Linked DNA regions of Bombyx mori. The protein of the gene in region 1 binds, or shares a complex with, the protein of each later gene. Links are inferred from orthologs where the notes say so. Each region holds a gene or a part of one and is shown in the gene's direction. Other genes may lie near its edges.

Region 1 (4,717 bases):
AGAAATATTGATACATAAACTAAACAACGTGAAAAAATAAGGCATAGTTTTTCAAGTACAAATAGTTTTGAAATAAAGTTGGCCCACTTTTGGGCATTGTCCTTTTTTAAATAAATGTTCACAAATGAGGTGTATTTTATTACTAGTTTGATAAATCCGGTTCCACATAAATATGTTGAAACAAATTGTATTAAAACTCTAATGGCTTAAAACGAGTTATTATTTTACCACGAAAAATCCCAATTTTGACAAAATTGATTGTTAAATTAAATCCGAAGCGTACCATCACGAATCAAAGCTAATAATAGCCTAATAGTTAAACTGCACATATCATAGGAAAATGGATCACAAATCCAACCAATATCATTTGAATTATGAAGAAAAAATTAAATTTTATCGGAGAAAAAAATCCTTTAAATTTTAACGTGGTTGGAAATTGTTTTTTTAAATGTTAATACATATGTCTATATTTTTTTCTTGCCTCTTAGTTTGCACTCCACTACTTTAGGCCATTACGAGTTCGTGTGCATGCGAAATATGAATTTACATTTAGGCGTGGGCTAGTTGACAGCTAGGTCAGTCATTTGAACCGGGCATCAGGTGAGACGGTGTTCAGCTTCCCCGTCGAGCACGGTATTACTCACGATCGGTTCTCCGTCCTTTCTTGTGAAACATCGCCTACGATTGGGTCCTACGGGATGTCCTGGGCATTACTCTCCGGGGCCTCAGCGTAGCTTGCTACGCGGACGACACTTAGGTTGCGGCCAGGGGGAAGGACTTTACCGAATCTGCCAGTTGCCGCCTTTCCTGCGCAGGGATGGCCTTAGTCGTCGGCAGGATCCTTGGCCTGAAAGTGGCGCTCGGAAATCGTAGACCCGACCGCCGTCTCCCTGAGTCTTCTGTTGCCGGACGACGGGGGTCCTAACGCGATAGCGCCGCGTTTCCACAGGGTTGGTGCACTGGTAATAGCACTTTATGGAGCTCCTGTGTGGCACAACCTGACCCGTGACAACGTCGCAACGCTGCGACGTCCGAAGCTTGCGATCGATGTTAGAGCAGTGCGCGTGTACCGCACCGTCTCGTTCCAGGAGGCGGGCGTGCTCGCCTGAACTCCTCCCTAAGCATTATGCGTGATGCGACCACTCAGCCCAGGCCGAGTCGATCCTAACGCGGGTCTCCAATATCGCCGGGCCGCGGTCGAGGCGTTCGTTTAGCTCCGGCTCCTTTGAGGAGGCAGTCTCTTCCCGATGCTGGTAACGAGGCAACCTGAAGGGATCGAGGCTGCGCCGCACGCTGTTGTCACTCTTACGCGCTAGCACCAGAAGGATGGGATGACAATCGGTGGCTGCAATCCGCGATGCCATCGTCGCTGTTATTGTCGGACGTATTAAGAAAGAGCAACCTGGTTGGTGGCATATCGCATTTTGTCCCGGCATGCTGGTTTTAAGCCAGCAAGGTATCGCGGATCACTAACGACACCGCCCGGGCGGCATGACTAGCTGCCGTATCGCGAAAACGGCCGTCATTGGTCGTCGACGAAAGCCTCACTTGGGAGAAATAGCGGTGGCGACGCGAGTCTGGTTGGAGTGATCGGACATCGGGTGAAAGAGTGCAATGGGAGTTGTTTGGTAGGTAGGGCACTAAAAACATCCTTGGGCATGCAATCTGCTCACATCATCTGCAGAGCGTCAAGTCCCACATACTACGCATGTCCCCTAGGCGCGGATACCTCATATGAAGTTCGGCCTACTGACCGAAAAAAAGGGTTAGTTGAGGCTAAGGCTTACGCATTATCAGGGATGACAACTTGTCGTAGCGAAATTTGGCAACAAATACTTGCTATTTGCGATTGTCCATTTACCCAGTGGCGAAGCGATGTCATGATAATGCTAATAATAATGCTGTGCCTTTTTGCCACCTCGGCGTAGTATTACGTTAGTAACTCTTAGTATTTATGTGACAAATAAAATACTGAGAACTTTATAGTTTTTTGAAATCAAATACTGGGAGCCACTTATCAGATTGTCGCTAAGGATCTTCGAGTCTACGTTTAACTTCAGTCAAATAATAGTTAAAAATGAACCGATAATACTACTTCCTGGAATTTTAATCGTTAGTACTATTACATTTTCTATATATTGATTGTTTTTAAAGATTTGCTGTAACTCTTAGAAACTAAAAACACGAATGTGCTTTCCACATTTTAACGGTAGACTCTAAAAGTAAAACAAAGCACTACCAGCTACGCAGTATACCTGCATAAGACATCTTAACTTTGCAAAAAATATGGCTGTAGTAGTACGACCAGTACCGGTCCTCAATACATGCTATGTTTTTTTTACAATAGCTTCAATCTCCCAAGCTACCACATGTATTGGTGTTATGTGATGGAAATATGGGAGTTGAATCATAATAAACCATCCTGTTCATATTTAATTATTTCTTTATTTATTTATTTAATATATTTTGTACACACAGCTGTTAGAAGAAACACGACAATAAGGATACAGAGTACAAGGACACTACTTATTTCATGTTGAAATCTCTTCCAGTAGGCCCGCAAAAGGAATGAAGAATTAGGAACACAAATTATTTACAAACATTATGTTTCAATTACAGAATTAACCGATGAGCAGAAAGCGCTTCAGGAACTAGCGCGTAAATTCACGAAGGATGAAATCATTCCTGTGGCGGGTCAATATGATAAGACGGGGGAGTACCCGTGGCCCGTTGTAAAGAAGGCTTGGGAAGTTGGCCTAATGAACGGACACATTCCAGAACATTGCGGTAAAGTTATCTGTTATCTTTAAACAAATATTTATCCGATTCTGTTACATATTTCCGGCATAGTAGGTATGCACCATCAAAGCTGCATAATTCCGAAAAGGAAGAAAATTTTTTTTTTTAAGTATAACAAGGAACTTTTCTGTCTTAGATATTAATCTAAGGTAGAAATTATAAATTCTTGAAGCTAAGTTAAGACTGTTAGAACCGAGCGGGTTATTTTGTTTAATAAAAGTTACTATTTAATTTACTTTAACAAAACTCGCCTAAGGTGTCACGGAGCTTATTTGATCTGATCATAAATACTATAAGAAAAAAAAGCTTTGAATTGGGAATGCTTTGTATCCGCATTTTCGCGATAATATTTGCCAAAACAAATTTTTAATACTATTTAAATGTAGTGGAGTGAAAAAGAGAACCATATTGCTATGATAGTATGTTTTACACGAAGCAGATATGGGAGCCAAATGTATTTTTTTAAATACTCTATCGGCTTGATAACATTCTACTCTTTGTGAAATGGAGTTTTGATGGGAATGACGGATCGTTACCGTCTAAATAAAAACAGGCTATCCACGTAGTACTAATTCATAAAAATAAGGCGATCCATGCAGTGGAGAACAGAATCTGAAGAAATCATGTCAAAAGGTTTTATCTACTTATAATATATTCGTATTACGTGCGACCGTAATGTGGTATAATTTAGAAATTACTTATGATTTGCTGTTTATTAGAGACGCACTGGTTTTTACTTACCCGATAATTTGAAAATGAATAGAGTGGCAAAATTAAAAACACTTTTTAGGCAGCACGCGAAGTGATCAAAGCTTTTTTAAATATTAAATAAATATAGTATTTTAGATGAAAATGGCAAACGGAGCCTATAAGTTATCACTATAGGTGAATTTTGCTATAAAAATCTAGAACGTTTGTATCGCGACAAATAGGCAGAATTATCGTACCACACGTAATTAGGAGAATTTATAAATTTAACGTTCTAGGGTTAATTTTTTTGTATCAACCGTGCATCACGAGTCCGCCAATTGGCCCGACCCATTAGGCCGGAATCTGTCAAAATGTTATAATTTTAAATATGTTATATTGTGGTCCCTAAAATCGATTCCACAGGAGGTCTAGGTTTAGGAGTGTTCGAGGCCTGTATTTTGAGCGAGGAGCTGGCCTACGGATGCTCTGGTATCATGGCAGCGGTGTACATCACCGAAGTTGGTGTGAGCACGCCGCACATACTAATTGTGTTTCACTAATCCGAAAAACGTGTGTCGAGCATGATATTGTTCTTACTGTAGTCAAGTTAAAAAAAAAACAGGGGTTTGGAGGTTAACGTTATTATACTGGGATTTCTATGGTGCGGGGTATTCTCATCCATACATTTAACAAAGTTTTAAATGACTGAGGCATAAATAAAATGTATTTGAATATAAATACTGGAGGTTTTCAGGGGGCATAGGGAATTTTGGCGTCTTCGAAGAGTGCATCGTAGCGGACGAACTTGCGTTTGGATGTACTGGCATCACGACAGCTATTGGGGGCACGTCCTTAGGAGTGAGTCATACAATAGAACGCCTAAAAAAACTGTTATAAAAATGTTGGGGGGTTTTTAAATATATTTTTATTATTTCACGCGTAATCATCATGTACCTAATGTAAGCTATGCTATTTATAGTTTTATTATGCACAAAATAATATTAAAAACCTTAAATATTTGTAAGTAGTATTGGTAATGGTAATTGCTATTAAATGTCATAATTATACTGCTGTGATGTTTCTGTATATGTTATGTGCATGTCTATTTAACGTATTGATGTAGAATGAGTTTTCTAAAAACTAGCAAATGCACACTCCGATACAAATACTTAAAAAATAATGCAAATAACTAATGCGATTTTAAACTACAATATTTTAGTAGCTTTTA
Region 2 (5,161 bases), on another chromosome or scaffold:
GTAAAAGTGATGTGTCATCTTTAATCCGGTACCGGTAAAATGGGGCGATTAGGGATTGAGAGGCGAATCGGGAAAAAACCGGGAAAATCTTTCGACGCTCAATATAAGTTTTATATTCGTTGCAAAATCTTCCATTTTTTGTAGTTTAATAGTAGAATGTTGAAAGTTCACAAAACAACTCTGAATATGCATGATAATAGCTGCTAACTTATAAAAAATCGCGTTTCAAAATTAACTTTCTGTGGTGGTAATTATTTTAGTGCTAGAAACTTTGCTCTCTTTTATTTATTTGATAATAATAGAAGACGACTATGATTTATAAACGTTATTTAGTGTTTGAACCAGCATATATATTAAAGGTAAGTCTCAGTTGTTATTGGTTTTAATGTATTTGATTAAATAAAAATATATGTAAAAATCTGTTGTTTTTGGGGATATTGGGGACGTCTTAGGTACAAATAACAACGACAAAGGGGTCAATTGGGATGAGAATACGTGAAATGGAAACGACCTAAGTACAAATAGGTACAGGTTTGTAGGGTTGTCTATGTAGTTATAACAATATTTTTTAAATTTGTTGGTAAAAATCTGGTTTATTCGAAGCGAAATAGGGAATAAGTCTTTAGTTGAAATAGATAAGCAATTTAATATAAGTAAGTCGATTTTGCAGAGACATGTAACAAGATCAATGAAATCTCAAGGTGGACAAAAATGTCTAAGTAATATATTTAATATTTGAAAAATAAATATTTAATATTTGTTCAGAGTGGGGGTATTCATCTGATTAATCCATGGAATAACCGACACACCTAATCTCTTAACCCAGATAGAAATATCAGCACTATCGATTGCACCTATAATTGAGGTGATGTCTGCCATGTACTTTTGTCAGTTTTTAAATTTTTTTTATTGATGATCACTTTGTTGGTGCAACTAAATAAATAAATTAATTAAAACTATATATAAAAATGAAAGTAGTGCCAACCCTAGCAAATTTCTCATTTCGTCCCAATTAACCGCAATTTTCGGGTAAATAGGGATTACAGCTATTTTTGCATTTTTTGCTTAAACTGGAATGCTAGTTGCATAATTTTAAATTAGACAACAAAGATGCCCCCAAGACTCAATCATTTTGATCCTGATATAGCATTATATACATCAACAACTATCTTAAAATTGCTCATAAAGTTGGAATTTGTCCCTAGTCGCCCCATTTTACGGTATATGTCTATGAAATTTATCAATAACTTTATTGTGAAATCAAAAGCGTTTTTATTAATATCTGTTATCCACGCAATGGAAACTGAACTAGACTACAGTTAAAATCACGATTCACGACAACGCTTTATCTAATAAATAGTGCTACTCAGCAAAATTAGATTTTTTTAGTCTGCATAATTTCGAATTAGTTAAATCTGTGTAAGGAGTTAAATCTGTGTAAGGAGTTATAGTGTACTGCATTTACCTTCAGTGAGCCACATTCACCTCTCGCGGCAAAACACGAGTACAACTCGGATTCAAGTAACTTTTTAAATTTTCGGATAAAAGGCTTATTACACTTGGCTAAATTTAGTCGACTGAATTTAGTCGGTACTGAATTCAGTGAAGTGTAACAGCATTCAGTAAGCTAGCCTACTAAATTCAGTAGCAAGGATGGTTTCTGACTGACTAAATTATTAAGAAGCCTAATTAGAAACGCATTTAGAAAAGCGAGGACTACGCCAAGACCAATTTTTTGTTGTCTAGACAATACTAGGGCCATCCTCTTATACACACGACACGTCCAACTTCGTCGCGCTTAAGCTGGCAATTGATTCAGTAACTGAATTAAGAATAGTGTAATCAGAAGTTTCTAACTTGCTTCTGAATTCAGTCGTAAATTTAGCCAAGTGTAATAAGCCTTTAACGCCACGCGGACGTCAACATGTTCTATAAAATCTCAATAAATTTCTACTGCTTTAAAGAGAGTTTAATATATTTCATGTCATCCCACAGCTGTTATATTATCTTACCTATTATAATTCAATTTGATTTCATTATTTAATCAACTCAACCAGCACAATCGTTAAATGTTACATTTTATTTAATAAACATGACTTCTATTTTTCCTACAAAATGGCATGCACTTCGTTCCCTTTGCTTGTCTTAGCCACGAATCAAATAAAAACCTCTTGTCATTTTTGAACATTGGACTTTGTAACCTAGATTTAAGTTTAATAAATTATTTAATAAATAAAAACAGATTTCCTGAACAAAATCTTGCTTATCAAAATGTTTGCACCCAATAGCAGGCATTTATTTTTGTCTGGACAGGTTGGAAACTTTATTATTATATTGAGATCCTAAAACTTAGATTATTAACCTCTAGATGAGATTAGTCTTAAAACTTATATGTTAATTTCAAGGGTCGAGGTCACGATGTGAGTTATGATAATTATTGTTCAATTGGATTTTAGAAATAAATAGGTGCATAAGTAATTTAGACCCATTTTTAAATATATTTTCCTAATATATTACTGAATTGTAATAGCGACTCTAATTTCAGCTGCGTCGTTTGCAAAGTACTTTAGTGCTCGCCGAGCACAACAATGAGGTACTATCTCCAGCAACCCAAAATACATTGAATGCTGCCAAGAAAATTGGAGGTGATGTCTCAGTGCTTGTGGCTGGAACCAAATGTGGACCTGTATGTTTTTATTTTGAAGCTAATTTAACAAACAATAAGTACAGTTTCGGGTTTTAGTCTTGGAACCAATTAATAATAAGTATTGGCATCTTATGTAATCTCGTTATATGAATATATATCAAGTCAATTTTAATCAGAATCCTGTAATAGAATGCCATGGTTCTGTAATTAGCTATTGTATGTGAAGGATGTCATATTTAAAGTAGAGTTACTTAAATATTAAAAATTGCTAGAATATCAAATATTAAGTACAATGTAATGTCATGGGACAGTGCAGTCAGTACTAATTGCAGAGCTTACCTATAATTGTACTATTATCATTTTCCTAATAAAAAACTTTTAAATTTGACTTCTTTCAGGCTGCAGAATCCATTGCTAAGGCAAATGGTATATCTAAAGTTTTAGTGGCTGAGAGTGATGTCTTTAAAGGTTTTACTGCTGAAACCCTGACTCCTCTGATTTTGGCTACACAAAAACAGTTCAAATTCACTCATATCTTAGCACCAGCAACTGCTTTCGGAAAGACGGTGCTGCCACGAGTTGCGGCCAAGCTTGATGTGTCACCAATAACTGATATCATTGGTATCAAGGATGCTAATACCTTTGTGAGAACAATTTATGCTGGTGAGGTCCTATTGATCATGTACATTTTGTATATATCATTTTTACATTCATTATTCATACATCTTTGTAAAGCCTCTGGCTCTATGCTCAGTGTATTTCCAGAGCTCTTTTATACAATTTATCAACCTCAACAAACTTCCCTCCATGGTATTCCTTGAGCTCTAAAACATTTCATTTTTCAAATGTGCCTTCGGGAGTGTTCTCTATGGTGGGCAATGGCAAACGTCCTTATGTAATGCCAGCAATGTCACTCAAATGTCACATGGGCCATAAGCTCATTGCCCTATGAAGGTAATAAAAACAGTCTGTTAGTTCAACTGAAATTAATGTTAATTAATGATTAATTGATTGATATTTTTAGGTAACGCTATATTAACCCTTGAGGCCAAAGATCCTATCAAGGTCATCACTGTTCGTGGCACAGCATTCCCTGCAGAGCCATTGGAGGGAGGGTCTGCAGCAATTGATAAAGCACCTGAGGGCGACTATAAGACTGATCTGGTTGAATTTTTAAAGCAGGAATTGACCAAATCTGACAGACCAGAACTCACTAGTGCTAAGAATATTGTATCTGGTGGTAAGATATTATAGTTAAAAAATAATAATAATAAATAATCAATGCTTAATTTAATTGCTTGGTCTAATTTAATAGAAACTTTAAAATTAATGTAATGTAGAATTCATAGGACTAAAATTCCACTATTTAAACTCTCGTTATCTTATAGGTCTTAAAAGCAACGAATGGTTCTACTGGTTCTGCTAAAATACTGCAATTATCTTACTGCATTATTATTGTACTGTAAACCCTCATAGATAGATACCAATATGCTGCCTATTTCTGTTATGTGGATGACCTGTAAGAGTGCTCACACATCTACATAATAAAAAGATACTTTTCAAAATTATATTCAAATTACACATCAGAATTATTCAAAGTGTAATGTTGTTATTTGACAGGACGAGGCTTGAAGTCTGGTGACAACTTCAAGTTGTTGTATGATCTAGCTGATAAGTTGAATGCGGCCGTGGGTGCCTCTCGTGCAGCTGTCGATGCTGGCTTTGTACCCAACGACCTACAGATTGGACAGACTGGCAAGATTGTTGCTCCTGTTAGTATTAAATTTATATTTAATTAGGTGTGCTTTCTTTGAATCTCATACACTTTAGATTTGACATTGAATACACAACTCTATCAGAATGTCACAGATACAGGGTGTATAGAACTCCTTTATGATTCCTAACACAAAAGCATACAAATTATTTAAAAAATGTATTTCTTTTTCGACTGGAAAGAAACTTCTTTTGCTCATAATATAACAAATTTCATACAAAAATCAATTGAGGTGGTAGATTTATGGTCGTAAAATGTCATAGATGTATATGTCATATAAAGCTTTTGTGAATTTAGTTTTAGATTGTCGTTTTACAATAAAACGAACTGTTCACTTTAATGCTGTCCTTGAGCGGTTCCAGTATATACAACATACTCTTTCATTATGTGTGTTGATGCCGTTCATCTAAAAGTAATCTGAAATAAATATATCTTGCAATATTTACAACAGACTTTGTTGTTCTAAATAACATATACAACACATAGTAATATTAGTAGTAAATACACACTGTAAGACAGATTAGTGTGTAAAACTTTCACAAATGAATGAGCATTATTTGCTCTTTCTTCATTTCATGTAACTGCTTAAGAATTTGAATATATTGTATTATAATTGAATTAATTATTTGGTAATAGCAAAGTAATGTTATTTAATTATTGTCCTACCAAAAAAAATTGTGTTTTGATTATATACTTTTCTAAAAAAAAAAAGTATTATATTGCTATTTATATATATAATT
Region 3 (5,512 bases), on another chromosome or scaffold:
GCTGCTAACAAATTTTAAAAAATTATTACAACACAAATCTACTCCATGCATTTACTGTTCTGTTAAGCAAAAGTTTGTCCATGTGTTGGCCGAGCCATGGCCAACATTTGTAGCGGTGGTTAAAAATCGGTAATTTTGTTCAAAATTTAATATTATTTATAAGTTTAAAGCTTACAATATAGTTTATACTTCATGTACTTACCGAATGTAAGATATTCCGGCCGTTAAATTGCTTTTTCGGGCCTTATTTTTGCAACTTTTGAATACACACTGCGGTATTGTGAGACGGGTTGACATTGGCTGTGTTTGAAGTGAACTAAACAAAATAAGAGCTCACATTTCAAGTGCGCTGTTATTTGACGAGACGGATTTTATGCACCGACCCGAAATCTAGTTACTATTGTTGATCGAAGCTTTAAACTAATAAATAATATTAAATTTTGAACAAAATTACCGATTTTTAGCCACCGCTACAAATGTTGTCAAGGCTCGGCCAACACATGGACAAACGTTTGTTTAACAGAACAGTAAACGCACGGAGTAGATTTGTGTTTTAATAATTTTTTAAAATTTGTTAGATGTACTTCAAAATTAGTTGGTTAAAATTGGTTAATGCTGCTTTTGTGTCTGTTTTTTGGACTCTCATTAGATACTTAGCTTTCCTTTTTTATTTTAGCTTTCCTAGCAATCACGTGTGCAGAATGGATCTCGATTGTCGCCAGAGAAACAAGAGATGACTTTTATAAGCCAGCTAAGATCTCCGCTCATTGACACTGGACATCTTTGTCTTCCGTGCTCACGGCTACTGAAACGTGGCCGAAACATTGTAATAAAAATACCGCGCTTGAAACCGTTTAAACGTTGTTTTATTATGTGCACTGGTCGCGAAAACTTAAAAATATACTATAAAAATATATATTACACAAAAACGCAACGCTAATAAAATAATAAATAATGTATAGATACTAACAAACATAAATTTCCAAAACATAAAAAGTAAACAACTAAACTTTTGCTTTTATTCATTAATAAATTATTTTAGTGTTCAACGCGACTCCCTTACCTCCTGTAGTAAACAGAAATCGAAATTTCAAGAAGCAAAAATAAATAAAACAAAACGATGTTTGTTCTCAGAGCAATAAAGGGAAAAAGTACTTTATTTGTTGTCACTTAAGGTTGATTTAACATTAAAAATTGTTTAACATATGTTTTTTTATTTGTAAGTGACAGGATTAATTTATTACTTTGCTCATTTTATGTGACGAATGATCGTAAGTATTAGATAATGTTTTGGAGATTTGTGGCTTTATTACAAAGTACCATAGTTGTAATTAGTTTGAACTTAAAACTGTTTCAAAACTTTTTTCTCCGTTTGTTAGTAAACGAATGTAGCTATAGGTGTATATTCACGCGGACAGCTTTTGCTTTAATTTTGTACGTGTCCCTTTATCTAGTTACTATTGATGATCGAAGTTTAGGAAGCATAAATAAAATACAGAAAATAAACCATAGCATATTATTTAATGTAGGTATATATAATAACAAAACGCCCACAGAAGATCATAGATCTATAGGATTAGAATTTTTGGGAAGTCGACGCATTGCTTTTATATTATTTTGCTGCACGCAACATAACGCTGTTCGGTTCTAAGATTGAGCAATTGTTTGCTAGCATTTTAAGCTTTGTATGAAGCAAGCCTTTCGGGGTGTCATTAAAATCCTGTTTCTTTTGTCAGTTTTTACATTTTTAAGAACACTGAATAATCTTTCCACTTCAGTCTTTGAAGAAGGAACTGCTAGTAAAAGTGAAACGGCAACTTCAAGGTTTTCGTAAATGAAATTACCACGATAATCTTTCATGGTTCATGAAGTACCTATATATTACAATACGAGTAGGTTCTGGTGACATAGGTAAATAAAATTTTGGCGGATTACACTTATTAGGATTCTGGGGAATTCCTAAGAAAAAAGCAGTGGTTTAGTCTATGATTTACTTTACTACAAGGTTACTAGTATAGGCTTTGCGTTTTACCCCGAAATTCCCTAAATCCTTGTATTATTCAAATTGTCTTTAACCATCCAAAATATCAACTGTTTTTCCCTAAAAAAAGGAGAATTCTCTAAAAGTGGACACACTGTGACCCAGCGAAGTTCCACAGATTATTATATATGTTAATAACGTTTTAAAGTTTTGCTCTCTTTGTTAGTAATCTGTGGATATTTTAAATTTGGACTTCGTACCTACCTGTTAGTTTGTTTTCGTTAATATTTAGTCCTTTAATTATTACGCCTTTTAGATACTAATTAAAAGAAAAATGTCTCGTGTTCTTGTTGGCGTTAAGAGAGTTATCGACTATGCTGTAAAAGTAAGTTATATGAAAGTGCAAAGGTTATTTTTTATGCACCGTTTTTATTAATAAAAGAATAATAAATAGTTAATAATTTTGAATACGTGTATATACATACATATATAACCAATAAAGACTGTAACTGTCCAATTGTATTTGGAATATAGTACCTTTGCGTTTCTAAGCTATTCTTATCTATAATCTTTCATAATAGCCTTGATTAATGACCCTTTGCCACTTGGCAATCTTTTCGACCACTTAAATTAAGATTACATTACTGATAAAATCCTTTAACTCCGAACTATACTATACTAAAATTTAAAATGACGCACTTAGTTAGATCCTAATAGACTTTTTTTAATTCAATAGTAAAGTTGATTACTTACTAAAGTTAGTATAATTAATTAATAAGTTTTTTGGCAAGTGTGTGCAATGTAATATGAAATTTAGTATCACAAAGAGGATTAATATGAATTTTATATTCAGATTCGTGTGAAGCCAGACAAGTCTGGTGTAGTCACAGATGGGGTGAAGCACTCAATGAATCCTTTTGATGAGATAGCAGTAGAGGAGGCTGTTCGAATGAAAGAAAAAAAGTTAGCAAGCGAAGTCATTGCAGTCTCTTGTGGACCATCACAAGCACAGGTATCCATTAAAAAAAATGCAGATTGGTTAAATGTTCATGTTAAACTAATAAAATTATAATTCATTTTAAATAAAATTTCATTTAAAAAGAACAATTTATTCTAATCGGTCTTTTTAACACTAATGACTTCAATTTCTTATAAAAATAATAAATTAATTTAAGAATAAATTTCATCTATTAGTAGTAAAAGAATTGTTTATAGTCTCATTATAATTTTTTTACATACTTTTTGAGGCTAAAGCTTGTTTATTTTATTATAAAGGAAACTCTCAGAACTGCTCTTGCGATGGGTGCAGATCGAGCTATTCATGTTGAAGTGGCTGGGGCTGAATATGACACATTACAGCCCATTCATGTTGCAAAAATCTTAGCAAAACTGTCACAAGATGAGAAGGCAGACTTAGTTATTGTTGGCAAACAGGTAACAACAATTAAAAATGCATATATTTTTTTATGTCATTGTGTCATAAATACCTAAAACTTTCTTTTTAATTTTTAAGGCCATAGATGATGACTCCAACCAGACAGCACAGATGACTGCTGCTTTATTAGATTGGCCACAAGGAACATTTGCATCAAAGGTAATTTTTATAATTTGTAAATAGAACTAATGAATTAAGTTATAATTCGTTTTCAATAATAACCAATTATTACAAGTTTTTATTCAGTGATTAAAAAAAACAACCCATCAATTTTGTTTAAAATGATGCTCTTTTCTTCTTTAATGCAAGAAGTCATAAGTTCAATATTGGGATTACCGAATTATCTAACATCTTCAATTTAAGTGAACATAAATACATTCAACTGTACCACCGGTGTGCTGTATTGGCCGCCTGTAAGCAATGTATTGACAATTTTAATGACATATGCATAATTATCCTAGCCAAACCTTCAATTACAATAAACAGTAACAAATTCATCTTTATTGTAGATAGAAAAGACTGATGGTGCTCTAACTATAACCCGTGAAATTGATGGAGGTTTAGAGGTTATCAAGACAAAAATCCCAGCTGTACTGAGTGCTGATCTGCGACTGAATGAACCACGATATGCTACACTGCCTAACATCATGGTAAATACAACTCTAAAGTTATATACTAATATGGAAATTAGAAGAACATACACTGATACACTGCAGATAAAGAACCCCAAGTTCCATATTAAGCTGTGCCTGATAAATTGTTGTTGTTTTGGATGTATAGATTTCCATTGAGAATTGAAAAGGATGAACTATTCTTGATAAGTTGATTAATGCCTCATACAATTTAAACTTTCAATACAACGATTGCTAACTATTCTTGATAAGTTGAACAACTTCAAATATAATATTTTCAATAAAAATCATAATATTTTCAATAAAAATCATAATATTTTCATTTAGTTCTCAGCACACCATTTTTATCACATAAAAAATTTAATTTATTAATTGTAACATGGTTGTTATCAATATTGTAATTGATTCATGATAAATTTTTTGAATACATGGAATATATACAGTCTCTATTTTAGTTGGGAAGGATCCTCATCTACCGTAATTTATATTTGTTTTAGAAAGCAAAGAAGAAGCCTCTCAAAAAAGTAAGTGCCAAAGACCTTGGGGTGGACCTGGCACCTCGTATCAAGGTGGTCTCTGTGGAAGATCCTCCAGTCCGACAGGCTGGCTCCATCATACCTGATGTCGACACTCTCGTTGCTAAGCTTAAGGAAGGCGGACATGTGTAATCGTAAATCGAACTTTTAATTTATCAATAGTGAAAAATCATAGGGAACATTTTTATATTAAATGTTTATAGAATCATGTTTTATGTATATTGTTAATGTAATTATTGACATTGTTTACTTTTTTGTCTTTTAATTAAAAACTCCCATTTCATCGTTAAGAAATTCAGAATTAAATATTTCACATTTGGGTTAATTATATATTAATAGGCTTTTCTAACGAAACAAATCATTTGCTGGTGGTAGGACCTCTTGTGAGTCCGCACAAGTATCACTGCCTTGGCTATTTCTGCCGTGAAGCAGTAATGCGTTTCGGTTTGAAGGTTGAGGCAGCTGTCGTAATTATACTGAGACCTTACATCTCTTATCTCAAGGTGAATGGCGGTATTAACATTGTAGATTGAAGGGCTTCGGTAACCACTTTACACTTGGTGGGCCGTGAACTCGTCCACCCATCATTTTTTTTATTTTTTATTTATTGCTTAGATGGGTGGACGAGCTCACACCCCACCTGGTGTTGTGGTTGCTGGAGCCCACAGACATCTACAAAATAAATGCGCCACCAACCTTGAGATAAGTTCTAAGGTCTATGTATAATTACAACGGCTACCCCACCCTTCAAACCGATTCGCATTACTGCTTCACGGCAGAAATAGGCAGGGTGGTGGAACCTACCCGTGCGGACTCACAAGTGGTCCTACTACCAGTTAATTTAAATTTTTCCAATATCATAACTAGATGGTGTTATCAAATGTATTGGTAAAGAATAGAAACATACCTACCTATTATATAAATTATT

Evidence for each region. The genes of interacting proteins can lie anywhere in the genome.
Region 2: the proteins of medium-chain specific acyl-CoA dehydrogenase, mitochondrial (region 1) and electron transfer flavoprotein subunit alpha, mitochondrial are in contact, whole or in part, in a crystal structure (PDB 2A1T), measured with the Homo sapiens proteins. The link is inferred for Bombyx mori from reciprocal best matches to the Homo sapiens genes ACADM and ETFA. Residues at the interface, in NP_000007.1 of Homo sapiens: Pro163, Lys173, Pro211, Gln232, Arg235, Glu237, Val251, Glu253; in NP_000117.1 of Homo sapiens: Arg223, Lys226, Arg249, Asp253, Ala283, Ile284, Gln285, Glu304.
Region 3: the proteins of medium-chain specific acyl-CoA dehydrogenase, mitochondrial (region 1) and electron-transfer-flavoprotein beta polypeptide are in contact, whole or in part, in a crystal structure (PDB 2A1T), measured with the Homo sapiens proteins. The link is inferred for Bombyx mori from reciprocal best matches to the Homo sapiens genes ACADM and ETFB. Residues at the interface, in NP_000007.1 of Homo sapiens: Glu43, Gln44, Lys46, Glu47, Phe48, Thr51, Lys54, Phe55, Glu58, Glu59, Arg80, Glu83, Leu84, Gly85, Leu86, Leu98, Leu100, Ile108; in NP_001976.1 of Homo sapiens: Glu73, Arg76, Thr77, Tyr192, Ala193, Thr194, Leu195, Pro196, Ile198, Met199, Lys202.

What each region holds. Positions count from the first base shown.
Region 1 is NC_085107.1:11,198,080-11,202,796, forward strand, and holds part of medium-chain specific acyl-CoA dehydrogenase, mitochondrial, read left to right. Parts: intron 1-2,619; coding exon 2,620-2,787; intron 2,788-3,912; coding exon of another isoform or gene 3,913-4,013; intron 4,014-4,243; coding exon 4,244-4,347; intron 4,348-4,717. UniProt on the Homo sapiens protein: Medium-chain specific acyl-CoA dehydrogenase is one of the acyl-CoA dehydrogenases that catalyze the first step of mitochondrial fatty acid beta-oxidation, an aerobic process breaking down fatty acids into acetyl-CoA and allowing the production of energy from fats.
Region 2 is NC_085111.1:13,688,928-13,694,088, forward strand, and holds the start of electron transfer flavoprotein subunit alpha, mitochondrial, read left to right. Parts: upstream 1-1,896; 5' UTR 1,897-2,271; coding exon 2,272-2,313; intron 2,314-2,545; coding exon 2,546-2,686; intron 2,687-3,045; coding exon 3,046-3,310; intron 3,311-3,671; coding exon 3,672-3,887; intron 3,888-4,267; coding exon 4,268-4,419; intron 4,420-5,161. UniProt on the Homo sapiens protein: Heterodimeric electron transfer flavoprotein that accepts electrons from several mitochondrial dehydrogenases, including acyl-CoA dehydrogenases, glutaryl-CoA and sarcosine dehydrogenase.
Region 3 is NC_085131.1:3,927,784-3,933,295, forward strand, and holds electron-transfer-flavoprotein beta polypeptide, read left to right. Parts: upstream 1-2,247; 5' UTR 2,248-2,315; coding exon 2,316-2,366; intron 2,367-2,834; coding exon 2,835-2,993; intron 2,994-3,256; coding exon 3,257-3,415; intron 3,416-3,494; coding exon 3,495-3,575; intron 3,576-3,925; coding exon 3,926-4,066; intron 4,067-4,545; coding exon 4,546-4,716; 3' UTR 4,717-4,819; downstream 4,820-5,512. UniProt on the Homo sapiens protein: Heterodimeric electron transfer flavoprotein that accepts electrons from several mitochondrial dehydrogenases, including acyl-CoA dehydrogenases, glutaryl-CoA and sarcosine dehydrogenase.